Arabidopsis thaliana: one gene and its partner. The protein of the gene in region 2 interacts with the protein of the main gene of each other region in a pairwise test. Each region holds a gene or a part of one and is shown on either strand. Other genes may lie near its edges.

What was found. Proteins that work in one complex are often made in the same cells at the same time.
Region 1: the proteins of KUP7 (region 2) and PIP2;8 interact in a protein complementation assay, tested with the Arabidopsis thaliana proteins (one large-scale study listed by BioGRID).

The regions. Positions count from the first base shown.
Region 1 is NC_003071.7:7,298,294-7,305,083, reverse strand, and holds PIP2;8 (plasma membrane intrinsic protein 2;8), read right to left. Parts: upstream 3,751-6,790; 5' UTR 3,438-3,750; coding exon 3,158-3,437; intron 2,929-3,157; coding exon 2,633-2,928; intron 2,260-2,632; coding exon 2,119-2,259; intron 2,024-2,118; coding exon 1,904-2,023; 3' UTR 1,575-1,903; downstream 1-1,574. Other genes in the region: AT2G16860 (GCIP-interacting family protein), read left to right, coding at 1-42, 134-374, 491-627, 718-945. UniProt on the Arabidopsis thaliana protein: Aquaporins facilitate the transport of water and small neutral solutes across cell membranes.
Region 2 is NC_003076.8:2,913,276-2,922,633, reverse strand, and holds KUP7 (K+ uptake permease 7), read right to left. Parts: upstream 6,484-9,358; 5' UTR 6,258-6,483; coding exon 5,967-6,257; intron 5,404-5,966; coding exon 5,175-5,403; intron 5,078-5,174; coding exon 4,829-5,077; intron 4,720-4,828; coding exon 4,669-4,719; intron 4,559-4,668; coding exon 4,298-4,558; intron 4,129-4,297; coding exon 4,076-4,128; intron 3,960-4,075; coding exon 3,845-3,959; intron 3,689-3,844; coding exon 3,434-3,688; intron 3,348-3,433; coding exon 2,825-3,347; intron 2,580-2,824; coding exon 2,030-2,579; 3' UTR 1,811-2,029; downstream 1-1,810. Other genes in the region: EICBP.B (ethylene induced calmodulin binding protein), read right to left, coding at 1-20, 160-275, 603-722, 1,129-1,347, 1,735-1,741; AT5G09390 (CD2-binding protein-like protein), read right to left, coding at 6,831-6,900, 7,027-7,104, 7,243-7,414, 7,554-7,595, 7,685-7,814, 7,955-8,128, 8,205-8,330, 8,456-8,645 and 1 more. UniProt on the Arabidopsis thaliana protein: Probable potassium transporter.

The sequences.
Region 1 (6,790 bases), on a different chromosome or scaffold from region 2:
ACAGGGAGACAAAAGAAGTTGTTTGAGTTGAGACTTAAGATGGTAAGTCTTTTTGTACAGTCATTAGTAATTCTTTTAAAGAATCCAAAGATCGTTTTATATATGTAACTCTTCCATAACGCTTTTGTTTCAGAATGAAGCAAGAAAATCCAATCAGACGGATGTCGGGAGTGAAAAGAAGAAAATGGAAGCACCAACAGAGACAAAAGGAATCTCAAAACAGAAATGGTTGGAGGGGAGGAAGAAAAAGATTGGGAAACTTCTTGATGCTAATGGTTTAGATATGACACAGGCTTATATGCTCGATACTCAAGAAGCAGCTGAATCAAAATACAAAAAATGGGAAAAGGAACCTACGCCTGCGGGTTGGGATGGTACGTGAAATTCGTACTGAATTGAAACTCTTGTCTCTTCTCATTTGTTATGTTTCACTTCGATGATTACACAATTATTGAGAGGCTAATGTGTGAAATGTTGTATTTATCTTCAGTCTTTAACCAGAAGACGTTATACAACGCATACAAGAAACGGACAAAGAACATTCAGGTTGATCTGGAGGAGTATAACAGAATGAGAGCAGCTGATCCAGAGTTTTACCGTGAGGCCTCAAGCTTGCAATATGGAAAGGTTTGTGATTTGTCGTTTTTGGTCAATGAGAGACTCAAATCTAAAGTAAAGAGTCATAGAAAAGCTCAATCCTTTGTTAAACTTTTGCAGGCTCCAAAAACTTCGCAAGATAAGATAGATAAGATGGCAAAAGAGCTCTTAGACAGAGAGCAAAAGCGACAAGAGTTTAGCAGGAGGAGGAAGTTCCGGGAAGAGAAGGATATCGATTCCATCAACGACAGAAACGAGCATTTCAACAAGAAAATCGAGCGTGCGTTTGGGAAATACACGCTGGAGATCAAAAACAACTTGGAACGAGGAACTGCATTACCCGACTAAGCTACTTGAGCTCACATGTTGGAAACAAGGGAATGGATTTCTGGTTCGAAAGTAAACTATGCTGTTGTCTGATTAATTGTCCTTAAATTATCCTTCTTGAGAGAACTAAATTGTAGAATGAACGTTTCTTTAGCCCACTTTGAAATTCAAACAAAATTTCTGTACCAGCTCTCGCTAGAGAGAACAAACGGTAACAAGAAAAAAGTTTTAGCTTTTTACTTTTTCTCTTTGTTTCTTTGTCAAAAATAGAATCAGCTGATGTAGCCAAACTCGAGGACACACAACTTTGGTAAAAGAAAATGTTTTGAAGAAATCTGCTTAAATTTAAGGTTTGGGTACGAATTCCGGTTATTATCGAGATGGATAGACTAATGTGTAAAGTGGTCTATGGTGAAGAGTGTGGACCCTTTAGTGTGGTGGTCCTTTATCTTTTTCTCTTCATCTCCGTCTGCTTTCGAGCCCTTTTCGAAATTTTTGACCTCTTTATCAGAAGGACCACACACACTTCTCTGTCTCTACAATTCTGAAAAGACGAGACGTGATAATGCTTATTGCTAAACTCCAATCCTTATTGCATGCCCCAAGGCTTTAGCTATTATAGTCTATTATTATTCTAACTAAGGAACATGTGTCAATATGTCATATGTGAGTGGTTTATGATCCGACCACCGGATAAGAAGAATCAAGTAACATAAGACAAAAACACCAAGGAATGTTTTATACGAACATGCATGTGGGTTCATATAAACTTGTAACAAATGTTTTAATTCGTACTAAAGTATAAAAGTGAATCATAAGATGCCCTACATGAAAGAAAGCAACGGACAAAGATGAATTAAACCAAATTAAACTATGAAAATGAATAAATCCGATTACATCAAATTAAAACACACAAATATCTCTCATTAAGCACACAAAAAAAAAGATCTCAAATTGTTCTAAGAAGTCTCATGAATCATCAATTGGTTGGGTTGCTGCGGAATGAAGCCAAAGCTTTGATTGCTGCAGCTCTCAAGATATATTGATGGTATGCTGCTGCTGCTAATGCTCCCACGAATGGTCCAACCCAAAAGATCCACTAAAAATTCAAATCCATTAACCCAAAACTTAATTAGTAATTATTCAACAAAAAAATAAGTAAATTGATTGTTAATGAGAGAGAACTATATTTACATGGTCGTCCCAAGCTTTCTCATTGTTGTAGATAACAGCAGCACCAAAGCTTCTGGCTGGATTAATCCCAGTTCCAGTTATGGGGATAGTAGCCAAATGCACCATGAACACAGCAAACCCTATAGGTAACGGAGCCAAAACCTATAAAAATAAAAATATTCAAAAGACTTTTTCAGAAATTAAACAAACCCATGTGAAATCATAAGAAAAAAAATTCAAAAGAATTCAACTTGTTAAAAATTACAAAAATCCATGTCAAACCCTACGATAAATATTCAGAAAAATTCAAGTTTATTAACTACACAAACCTAAATACCTAGAAATATGTTCAAAAATTTCAATCATGAAAAAACAGTAAAGAAAAACCCATCATGAAATCTATGAAAAATTTAGAAAAGAATAACTATTTTTAGAAATTACACAATCACATTTTGAAACCATGAAAGAACAGTAAAAAATTCAGCTTTAGAATAATTATAAATTATACAAAACTGGTTTGCAAAGTTTTACTAACCGGGACGTGAGAGTCACGGGCACTTCTTTTGGGGTCAGTGGCGGAGAAGACAGTGTAAACCAAGACAAATGTGCCAATAATCTCAGCACCAAGAGCAGTTCCGGTGCTATAACCATCAGCTACGGTGTTAGCTCCGCCTCCGAGACGTTTATATGGAGTCATCATAAAGGCCTTAACGAGTCCAACTCCACAAATGGCTCCAAGACACTGAGCCACCATGTAAGCAACTGCTCTAGGGAGCGACACTTTACGAGCCAAGAACAGACCAAATGTCACAGCTGGGTTAATGTGACCTCCTGCAAGTTAACAACTCCATATTAAGTTGTTGAAGATTAAGGTTTAGTAATTTTAGGATAAAGTTTTGTTGAAATATTTTACCAACTTGCTAAAAAGGTATTTTACCAAACAAAAACTTGCTAAAAATGTATCTTTGAATTATAAATGTATCATTGCTAAACAACTTCATATTAAGATCTTGAAACTGAAGTTTATGGAAATTTTTGTGGTTTTTGTGGAAATATTTACCGGAGATACCGGCGGTGCAATAGACGAGGACAAAGATCATGCCACCAAAGGCCCACGCAATGCCGAGTAAACCAACACCGCCACAAGGACCGGTTTGGTTCTTGTGGCCAATGACTGTAGCTACGGTTACATAGAGGAAGAGGAGAGTGGCGATGAACTCTGCGATGATAGCTCTGTAAAAAGACCAGAGCTTAAGCTCAGCCATGTCTAGAAGTGGAGCTGGAGGTGGATCCACGTAGTCTTTGCCATGTCTTCCTTCTTCACTCACTTCTTTTGACATTTTTCTTAGCTCAGCTCTAAGATTTCTCTCTCACTAAAAAGATTAGTTTCTCTCTCTAGTTATGGAGATTTCTTGCATCTTGTGTGTTGCTTTATAAGAAGAGAACATGGAACATAAGGGTACTTTTGGAATATAGGTAATAAATACATTTTGTTTATAATCAAATGGGAGACCTACAAAACCTAAAAGCCAGTCATATCACAATATCCAGGTTTGTTAGGTTTGTAATACTCTGAAGTCTGAACACTCTCATGTAATTGCAATACTCTCAATTTTGTGAAACACACTCCTACATTCTTAAAACCGTTTTCAATCTTACTAGTAATACAAAATACTAATAACCAATGCATGACATAAAAGCTAAATATTGTATGTACTGTAACATTAAATAACATAAATATAATGAAAATAAAACAAAAGCCATGTCGTGTCGTAGCTTTGGTGTAATGAATAAATAAGGTAAAGGAGATTGAGAGTACAAATTGGTGGGACATAGAAGCCGTTGGTCCATGTGAAGGTGAGAGAGATTTGTCATCCAACTAAATGACTAATCACCAACGGTTATATTTCTTTCTTTTCCCTATTACTATATGAACATACTCTCTTTCTTTTGTTTCTTTTTTGGACATAAGTTTCAACTATCTCGTCGTATATTACAAACTATCTGGTGTTTTACAAAAGTTAATTAAGAATTTAAACATTCGTTTCTAACCACTAAGACCATCTCCAATTTGGGCCAGCACTAGCCCGTGCCTACGTGTATGATATTGAAAGATTGGCCTACGGCCTATAATTACTACAAAAAATCAAAGACATATTTTATGAGTAGAAAAACTTGAATCACAGCTTTTTTTTTTGTGTACTATCACAGCTCTTAGTGAAAGAGTTAATGGAAGTTTTCAAAAATAGTAGCTAAAATAAAAAAATATGGAAATATAAGAATAATCAATTGGTAAATATCCTTTTCATTATATTTGTTTCATCTAGTATCATTTTATTTTATTTTCAAAATAAACAAAGCATGTTTTAGAATTTGACAAACCATGCGCAGTTTGTAACTACAGTAAAACCTCTATAAATTAATAATGTCAGGACCAAAATTTTTTTTAATTTAGAGAGATATTAATTTATCGATAAATTAATAATTATTAATTTATGGAGATATTTTACAAATTTGTAATTTTTTACAAAAATTTGATCTAAAAGGTAGTTTCTCTATACACTCAATAATTTTTCTAAAAATCAATTACAAGTAGAAAACCTTTATTATGTTTAAAACAAAAAAAAAACTTTTTTATACGTAGTAAAATAATTAGAATTAAATTTTACACAGAATTAATATAAATTATATAAATTGAAGAAAAATAATACTAAAGTCATATTTTACTAAGTTTTACATAATATTGATGAGACCATATATTTACATAGGATTTTCAAAAAAATTATTATCTTATTAATTTATCGATTTGTATACATTTATACACTGGTCCCAACTCGGGACAGGAAGAATTTATTAATTTATAGAGGTTATTAATTTATCGAATATTAATTTATAGAGGTTTTAAAATAGACTTGAAATTCTAGATTCATAATTATATTTTATTTTGAATTATGTTTTCGATTATTTTTTCTACCCTAGTTACTCTTTTTTTGGAAGATGATGGCTATTAAATTCTTTAACATGAATTGAAGAACGAAGATCCCAGCCTCTATATAGGTATGCCTAGATCTAGTTTGTTAGTATTTGTTTGTTGATCCTGACTTCAAATTCGATTATTCACTGTGATTGCTTTTATGCCTCAAGACACTTGAATCGCATAGATCTTGCTAAATTTGGATATCGAGTATGTAGAATTTTGTTGGATTGATTAGGTTCGGTCGAGATGTCTTTGATATTTATCTGTTCTCCTCAATTTATTTTTGTATAGCAATTAAGCTTTGTACTTACAGAAGCAGCAAGTTGACGCCAAAAGTTAATGACTCGAATTGTGCATGTGTTGTACATCACAATTTTGATTAACTCTTATACATGTGTTATGAATCATAATTGTGAGTTCGAAGGAATAATTGGATTATATGCCCAAAATCTTAAGAAAATTGTAATTAAAAATTCAGAAAACGATAATAAAATAATTTTATTAATTAGTTAATACAAATATTATTTAAATTCAAAAATTTAACTATTCATATCAACAAATTATATACTCAAAAATTATTATGCCTATGTGTTTAGACTCCAAAGCTAATGTAGTAGAAGAAAAACCACCAAAGCCTAAGAAGAAGAATCGAAGGCCAAAGAAGAATATGAAGAAGAATGAGACCTCCAACAATGTCAATAGGAGAAAGAGAAGAAGAAGAAGGAAAAAAAGAATGACAGCTCACCACCTTCTTTCAATGTCAACAACTTCGGTGATTCTCAGTTTCATAGGTTCTTCTTGAACCATTGTTGTCTCTCTCTCGCTTTGGCATTCCATCAAACACATTTCGTGCTTGACTTTTTATTTTTCTTCTAACTCCCGCCAAAAGTATTTGGGCCGTACTACTAGGCCTTTACTTTTGTTTCTTTGACGGAACGTTATGACTTTTCTTTTTGGGGTTTATTACCAAAATGAACATCAATTATCTCTATTTATGGGATCTCAAATCTATGAATTTCTCTCTCTAAAATGTTTTCTTGTTTTACAATTAGCTTAGATTTGCTTAGTAAGATAGTAAAAAGATCACAGGGCCTGGGCTTCATTCCTCATTGCCTATAACTCTCTCAAGTCTCAAACCAAATCACCTCGTAGAATATTTGCAACGCAACCAGTGAACCGAATCATATAGGGCTTCCCAATATGAATTCTACAACGTTATTATCTTATTACAATCTCATAATCCTACTAGGCATGGAGTCTAAACCGAATCATATATGGTTTGCAATTTATTCTCAAGCCTTTTGTTCTCCAATCTCCCCTTTCCTTTTAACAAAAATTAGGTAGGATCCGGACGGATTAAATTGTATACTTGAAATTCATTTTTCATTTCGTTAACACTAATATGTTTGATGTATGTATGTAATATAAATAGAGAATCAGTGAAGCAGTATAAATTTGTTGAGTTTGTCTATATTTTGACAACTTGCTAACTCTTGATATTCAAATTTAAATCAAACACATATTATTACTTTTTTTTTACAATGTATTAAATCATATAAGGTAACATAATTTTGTTTTTCTAACATGATTTAGTTTTTTAAAGTAATCATCTAATTACATAAAATAGAATATTTTTCTATTTTATAATTAATTATATTCTGTTTTATAATTAATTATAAATCCTTATCATTTTTATATTTACTTTTCTATTAATTT
Region 2 (9,358 bases):
AGCACATCTATGCTTCCTACCTATATAATGTTACTCTCAAAAATTTAGATACACTACGTTATCAACTAGTTTATTACAAATCCGGAAGTAGAACCAATTAACAGGTTCCATGATTGGAAAACACTAAACTATTTAGGAGACACTAAAGAAAATTATAACCTTGAGCTTCTCATGAGCTTCTCTTATGGTTTTACCATCTTTCTTCTTCCTCCAGTTATGTCCGTCTTTCCTAAAATATCTCAGTACCTTCCTATCAAAAAGAAAAAGTGAACCACCTATAAGGGTGGGGAGATAATGTCAGTTTACAGGGAAAAAATATATGAAAAGTGAAGATTGTTGTCACTAACAAGCGATCTAACAAAAAGTATACTTCTTCTTCGAAACAAAAAATAGGATGAATTAGAGCAGTGCAAGTATAATTTGAAGTCAGTACATGTGGAACTTTATATATGCAAAATTTTTGACTGCTATGCATAAATAAAATTCATCCTAATCCTAGTAGTTTTCAAAAATGGAAGAGAAAGTGACCATTCATCCACCGAATAACTTTATAAGATATAAATTGCAACAAAAAAAACGAAGGAACTCAGACACAAACATACTGGCGGGTCGGGTGGGAGACTCTGATGCTATATGAAACTTGTGATAGTTCTGAAGAATTTCACAAATCTCAGTAGGCCTAAGCCACCTGTGTTGGGCTTCTGACAGCAACTGTTCCATATCTGCAAACTCATAGAAGTAAAACATGTATCAGTACTTAACACTTTTTTGAATCTGGGTACAAAATCTTCCGATAACACTATTACGCTACCACTAACAAAATATGAACATTCCCAATGAAACAGAGCAATTCAGCCTTAAAGCAGAAATTTCAAGAGCATAAATACATTATTTCGTCGCAATTTCAGATCAAGCAGACAAAAAATAAATTCGGACAAACATGTGGAACAACACCAGTAAGAAAAAAAAGAAGTGAGCTAAGTTCCTGTCTAATGAATAGATTCATTCGCCTACCAAATGTCGCAGCAAGAAAAACTCAAAAATATGGCAAAATAAACGTAATTTCAAGCTAGCAAAGGAACCAAACAACGGAGGGAAATAAACAGTGGAGAAGGAAGAGAAAGAGACCTAATTGGAGAGGAGGAGTTATAGAGCCAAAAGATCTGCGATCCACCATAGATGGATAAACCCAAAAATCCACCAAAAGAGATCTTAAGCTTTCGTAATCAAAAAGAGAATCAACGAACCCTAACCGATCTGAGTATGCATGAACTGAGAAGCTTATAATCTTGTTTCCTTCGTTTCGGGCTATATCCAGGTGTGAAAACGATACCGATTTTTTTTTTCCTTTTTTTATTGAAGCGAGACCGAGGAAGAGAACCGAAGTAAATCGCTTTGTTTTTAAACACTGATTTGGACCACGTAACCACCAATAAACCTCCGACACGTATACATGTCAGATTTGTCTGGCCCATCAAGTCTTTTTTCTTGGGCAATCAAGTCCATTTCCTTGAATTTAATTATTTAAACTTTTTTCTAATTCAAGATTGATGTCAAATGTCTTTTCCCTCTCTTTCCCGCGGCGGCGGATCTGGCAGTGGAGATTCTCAGATCTTGGTGGAGATCTAATAAGTCTATCAGATCCATCATTGATGAAGCTAAGTGAATATCAATCATCATCATCATTGTAATATATAAACATTAGCACTTTCATGAGAAACGGCAGTGGGGGACTAGCCATTCTCTTCTTGTGGTTTCGAGTCTAGGCTTCAGACTCCGTTATCATAATCACAGATTCCTAATTCATAGCGCAAAAACGAGATTCTATGGAAGTAAAGATGTAAGATTCGGGGAACCATGAAAATTCCTGAAATCAACATAGGCAGCTTTTTCCTCTACTAGATGCTCTATAGATTGGAGTAGTCAAATACTCGGATTCTTCACAACAATGCAAGAACATCAACGCAACATACAAATTTAGATCTATGGACACGAATAGAAACTACGTTTAAAAGAAGAAAGAAGATACTCAGACCATGTATGTCATACCGACCTGCATCAGATGCGACTGAGGCACACTCAAATTTGCGATCCCTCTCCTGCAGTTTTTCCTCAGGAATGTGTAGAAGTAGTTTATGACTAACTTCTTGATGAACCATGAATCTTTTCTTGCTCTTATATCGCCATGCCCGAGAAGATACACCACCCCTGATTCTTTCGCTTTGTGTATGAACGATAACTCTCTCTCCAGGCTTTGCTCAGCTTCAGATACAGAGGAGTCAGATGATGTGTCAAAGGGATGGTGGTTTGTGTGATCAGATGAAGTGTTCATTTCCATGATCGGTTTGTTTAAGTCTCTGTACTCAGAGAGAAGGGGAACCCCCATCGAGTACATGCTTCCGTTGGGGCCAATTACGACTCTAGAACCTGGGAAATCTTCCTCTGAGTCTGAATCATCGTTCCCGTCGCTCTCCAAGGAACGTTCTTGTGCTTCCCTTCGGATGAATTTCTCGAGGCTCTCGATCAGTAGCTGCTCAAATGCTTGGTGGGTCTCCTTTCTTGCGTCTTTATAACCATACCTACACCACATATAACACAAAGAGTGTTTATATTCGATTTGTTCAGCAACGAAATGGAACAGAATGAAGGAGATAATATGTTCTTGTGTGCTAAACAGTGGCTCTAAGACGTACTTCTTATATAATACAAAAAGAGAGAAGGAAATATCAGATCTACAGACTTGAGTAAGAATCTCTACGTTAAGTCTAATCAATCATATATGAACCATGAAAATTTGATCACTGAAAGGGAAAAACAGACCAACCTGGCAATGCAACGGAATAAGTGATAGCTTTTGGTGCAGACACGTCTGAAGAGGAACCTCTCATTCTGTGGTACAACTGGAACCGGGACATATTTTATGCAGACGAAAATGACCATGGAATGGATTGCAGGAAGTGTAGTCAGAAAATGGCCAAATATTGCCGGTACTCCCTTCACTAACTCATTGTACAGCAAACCGATACCAGGAGCTCTTATCGTTCCCAGGTTGCACCCAAGTTCTCTCATTAAATCCATTGACAGCTTTTGTTCGACTTCTGTTTCATACCTGAGCTTACTTCCATAGTTCCAAATATACATTATACCAAACATGATTACGGCAAAGACCAATATTATCCAGCTTCCATCCCCAACACTCGCTATGACTGATGAGAAAAAGACTAATTCCACTCCGAGAAAAACTACCAGAAAGGCAATCACGATTACGATGTTTATCTGCCATATAAGAAGCATGATTAACGTCACTAGAATTGTAGTTGTCATCATCACTCCTAGCTCAGCCATCCCTGGGAAATCGAAAAAGAAAATCAAAACGGGGGAAGCATATCGGATCACCGAAGCTAGACAGGGAAGCATAGAAAACAACTATTACCATATGCATTTCCAATCTCATCGATACTTGAGATTGAGCAGACGACGACCAGGCAAACGGCAAGCAGGAACCAGTTTAGGACAGGTATATAAATCTGGCCCATAAATTTTCGAGAAGTGTGAATAATTTTGAGACGAGGGAAACAACCCAGAGCTGTTGACTGTTTAATACATGAAAATGTTGCAGTCGTCATTGTGCGACTGGCAATCAGAGCTGCAATGTTGGCTATGAAAAGGACTGGCCAGAATGCAGAGCCTACAGAACGGAATGATGAATCAATAACTTAATACTAATTTGAAATACAAGTTTCTAATCCACACCACAAGAACAGCCTTTGCAGGGAAATCAAAGTGGTTTCATTTGCCAAAGAGGCATGTATATTACTGATTGAAGGAAGCAGCTGAACTTTACCTGGAACAGATGAAAAGAAAGCTTGACTAGCATCCGCATGATTCTCCATCAGGTATGCAGCTTGTCCCATATAACCCAACATGAGGCACGGCAGGACAAGACACACAAATGTAAGCTGCAGAAAACCACTACGAAATAAATTAAAGTTGCAGAAAATTAGTGGCAAAAAGTAGCATACAAAAAGAAAAAGATAAAACATCAGCCGCCAAAGGCTTTCTACTCTTCATTTACCTGGACTGATCTAACAGAAAAGTAGCAAAGGTCTGCAAATAATGCCTCTGAGCCTGAAAGATAAAGATTATATAACATGAACAATCAACAAAGAAAGTGTCACAATATTAGGCGGATTATTGAGCATAAAAAGGCTTACTTAGTTCAGTTAGCCATTGCTACAAGAGTAATCTAATTAATTTCTAATGAAATTTAAGCCATCCAGCAAAAGTGAAAAATTACCTGTAGCACAGAGAATGCAACCTCCAAGTGCATACCACGCATTTATAGAATTCCTCTTGAAGAAGTAATAGATGTGGACAGGGTTGAATGCTCTGTAAACACTGCTATCGTATTTGATCAGGTTGTAAATTCCAATACCAGCAAGAGAACAGAACCATATAAGTAAGGCAGGACCTACTACTAGTCCCATCTTACTCGTCCCATATTTTTGTAGACTAAAGAGGATCACCAGAAATGCAACTGAAATCATCACCACTTGATCTGCAAAGAAGAAAGAAGAGAAAGCTGAACAATAGCAAAAGATACAATGAAAAAGATAAAAAGCCAATACCAAAAAAATTCAAATTTAATTACACTATCATCTGCATTACCTTGCTCAACTACATCAACTCCGACCTTAAGTCCACCAACAGCTGACATTACTGCAATATAATCAAGTAAGTCGGATAAGTCCATATGGTAGTAGAAACCCCCTGTGCAATAAAACAAAATCATGCCTATGAACATACTTAGAAGAGGTTATATAAGAACCTGACATTGCAGGAGTTACAACCCCATCGGCAATCACCATGGAAGTTCCAGCAAGAACTAGCACGAGGAGAATTTTCTTCAGAATTAATGAATTCTCGAGTTTTTCTTTTAGTTTCAATGATCTCTCAAGCTCAGGGCAAGGCACCTTCAGTCTAAAACTTGAAATTCGGGTGTCTGAGCGAAGTTGGTTTGGGATAAGACTAATCTTGGCATGACGAGAGATTAATGAGTATAACGCAAAGGTCCCCCCTGAATATCATAAGTAATCAAAGCAGTTGGCACTGTATGTACAGAAAAGATTCAAAGCAAGATTATATTTAGAAGATCAGAATAGCTTAAAGCGTACCTTCACCATCATCATTTGCCCATAGAACAACAAGAACATATTTAATAAGGGGGACCAAAAGTAAAGTGTATAAAACTAGTGACAGTGCTCCAATAACATCTTCTTTTTCTTGGACAGGTGATTTACTGAACATTACACTGAACGTATACAACGGGCTGGTTCCTACATCTCCAAAGACAACCCCTAATGTTTGAAATGCAAGCAACACTTTCCTCCCAACGGTCAAGTCCTAGCAAAGTAAAAACACAAAAAAAAAAGTTTGGTTAACTATGCAGAGAAAAGTACTGGCTCACAGATACAAGTCATAGATCTTAGATCTAAGATCATCCATCATTATTTATCTGCAGAACTTGCAAAAAGTAGTAGCCGTAGTTACGCTTTAGAATCAGAAAACAAATATCCACTGCTCTCAGACCGTGCATCCCTTGCAGGTTTCCATCCCAGGACACAACCATCATTAAGGAAAACAGATCAAAACAACATCCCAAACAAAATAGATTTATGAGCCCATCTCCATCACTGCAACTTGGAAGAATCGCACACTAGCTAGTCACAAAGCATTCCTGATTCCTGTTCCTAATCCATAATTTCCACATATTGCTAAACTAATTTTGACTTGATCTCTTATGGTACTTCCCTATTCAGTGGCCCTTTCTAGTTGATATCCGAGCTCTGGCAAAAACAGCTAAAAAGTGACTGTACTGTTTAAGAACCTAAGAAGACACACATCATGCTAGTCCATCACTATATATGTTGATATGAAATGCACTAATACACGAAACTATCAATCACCTCGTAATCATTTCTCGGAGCACCAGGAACTTCAAGCGCTTCCACGTCGAAGGAATCAACACGTGGACCAGTACGGATCAGGCGATGCTCAGGTATCTCGTCCTCATCGGATTCGAGTCCAGTACCGTCGAATCCATCATTATCATCGTCAACGCCGATCTCGGAATCATCATCGTCTTGAATAACCCATCGAGACTCGATAGAATCCATGGATGCCATATCTCCAAAACCACCACCTGAGCTATCGATCTCTTCTTTTTCAGAACCTTCCATACTGCTTTCCTCCGCCATTTTCAGAACTCTTAGATTGCAATCAAAGCTAAAGTAACCTCCGAAAGTTTCGCAGGGTCGATCAAACGAGAAGAATCGTAGAACTAGAGTTTCGCATCCGATCAAAAGTTCTCAGGAGCAAATAAAGATTTTTCGACGAGAAGTCTTGTTTCTTCACTGCCGATTCATGCCGATGTTCTCAATCTCTGCTTTACCAGTTCGCTGCTGAACCGGTCTGATACAAACGTGACATGTTCTGTACCGGAAGTCTGAACCGGTTAGATTGTGTTATTGGTCAACGTTTGGTTTGAGACTTTCTTGCTTCATACTGTGAGAGTGTGTGAGGATTACGATAACCTCTCAGGCTCTGTTTCATAATTTCGTTTTCTTTCTTCACAGCTAATTTTGTTCATACAATTATAAGATTGTCCAAATTTACTTTCATCTCTATAATTTCTCATAAATCAATGAGAAAACCAATAAATCCAAATATATTTATATAAACTCATGTATGATGTGCTTACTTTCAAACTAAAAACAACAAGGGAAATATTTCAAGACCCTGTGTTAGTCAAAAGTACAGACAAACGAAAATTAAACTTCTTCAGTAGCAACTTCAGAAACCACCTCTTTATATTCCTTAGTCTCTTCATCGTACCTGTACCTGCACGCATATTTTGTAATCAAACACATAACCAGAATTGAGCTGATAATCGAAATTATGAACACATGAATAAAGAGATTAGTAATGGGTTTTCAAAATTCTAAACTCATCCCAAGTAAATTTTACCATTTTCCGGTTGTTGCGTAGCAGTAAAGTCCAGTGTTCGGGTCATAATAGTAACCAAGGCTGCTGCTGTAGTAGTACCTGCAAAACCATTTATAGAATACTTTTAGATAAATAAAATTGAGATTCATAATGAATATTGCTAGCAACACAATACTTCGGACAAAAAGCTGACTTATGCAACAAGAGAGCGCGAGAGGAGAGTATATACAAACATACCCTGAAGATTCATCAAACACATAATCAGAATTAAGCTGAGTGCCCGAGATGGAGCTAGACGGTTGTAGATCAGAGGAAGGTTCAGGAGCATTCTCATCATCGCCAAACATATCACAAGATACTATATTGGCAGTCCCATTTTCTTTCGCTTGAGCTAGTCTCTCATATCCTTCTAAAAGACCAACATAGAGAAGAAGAATGTGAAAAGTCAAGCCAATTGTTCCCGAATGTTGTGAAAAGGTGATATCACAAAGCAGAGGAAACGTAGCTACATCTACAGCTGATATTGAAAAAGTATTAGAATCTCTAACCTGCTTCACGTTGGAAAACTTCTTGCTCCTCATGATAAACATCTTCAATACATAAAAAGAGGAACACATATATTAACAAATGGAGGACATCATATTTGTTGTTGAAGTAGCATAAGTTATTAGAGACTTACTGTAGTCGCCGTTCTCGATAAGCTTGTCCGCATCCTCAGTAAGCTGATCAAAGATAAGCTTGGTCTCAGATGTCATCTTCTCCTTGCGATTATTCGAATTCCCTTTCAACCTCCTTAAAGCTCGCAAGACCTGTAACATGAAACCGATTTATTTTACGTGTTCGAAGTATGTATAATCAACAATGCTATATTAAGGTGACATTTTTAACTAATACAATCCATGTTTCATGTTTGAAACAAAAACTTGTTAAAACGCAGAATGAGTCTCACCGTTTCTCCTGGTTCAAGGACATTAGCAATGCGCCTCTTTCTAACTCCGATTTCATCTTGAGAAAGGTCATCCCCTGCTTTTTCGTTCCCACTATCATCATCCATCTCAGTATCATTTGCAGCAGATCGTCCCATATACATTGGATTTTTTTCAATACTGTCAAGCCATGCATCCTGAAAGAAAACACATATAATGAAAGACAATACACAAGATATCTTGGAGCTAAGCTTTACAATGAAAGATGTGTACCTTGACTTCCTTTTCTCTAACATATTCTACAAAGTTCCCATCAGCATCAAAGTAACCTTCTTCTTTCTCTCTGTCCAGACTAAAAGCTTCAATCTGGATCCCATCTTCTGTGCGATTGCCATCATCCTACAATGAAATAAATCACATCAGCATAACTCTTTTTGCAAACAAACATCATTGAGATCTCGCAATATACACAATTAGCTTCCAGGAACAGTCAACAAACAAAAAGAGGATAGTAGAAATCCTACCTCATAAGTCTCCTGAGCCTGATTAATATCATCACTGTCATCTTCGATAAAGAGCTTAGTAGTATTCTGATTGCGAATCTTTGCACGCTCCTTAGCAGCATCACGGGCTTTGCGGCGGGCTAAAGCTTCTTCCTCTAAGAGCTGTTCAGGTTTCGACTTCTTCCCCTTTGGAAACCGTACTCGCTTTTCGCTGCCAGAGAGAATCCTCCATTAGAATCCACATTATAGCGTATGCACACAAACTCAAGTTGTAACTGAGACAAATTTCAAAGCTGATTAATACTCCAAGTTCAAGACAATCATATGTTTGGCATTCAATTTCAGGTTCAATGTCTAAGTCTAACAAAATTGAGGAGAAGAGAGAATCAGATGGAAGAAACAAGAGCTACTAATTCAATTTTTCCTACCCTAAAACTGAGTCAATCAACCGGAAACGAAAAGAAGAAACACGTATCGTCATGCTTAGCAGAACAAAATTGGAAATTAGGGTTTTCGGAAAAGATTGTAAACTTACGGAGGTTGTTTATCGGAATCTTCATCTTCTAAGAAGGATCGTTTAAGGTTCCTCCTCGACGAACTATCTGCCATTGCACAAGCGTTAGACGAGAACAACGACGATTTGTTTATTTCCAGGCGGTGAGAATCGCCGTCGAGGGGAAATAAGACGAAAGCATGAATTCTCGCCGACGTTTACAAATTGGGCCGTATTAATGGGCTGAAAAATGGGCCTTAAAAAGCGCGCTTAACGTTTGGAATTACTATGTCTGTTTCCTTTAATTTACCGGTTTACTTTTTTACCATGGTTAGACTAAAACGCCGCCGTTTTGGCACAGGCCCTAATTTATGGGTTCTCTCCTTAATTGGTGATCATCCTCCTTCTCAAGCTGTTGGCCGTCATTGAAC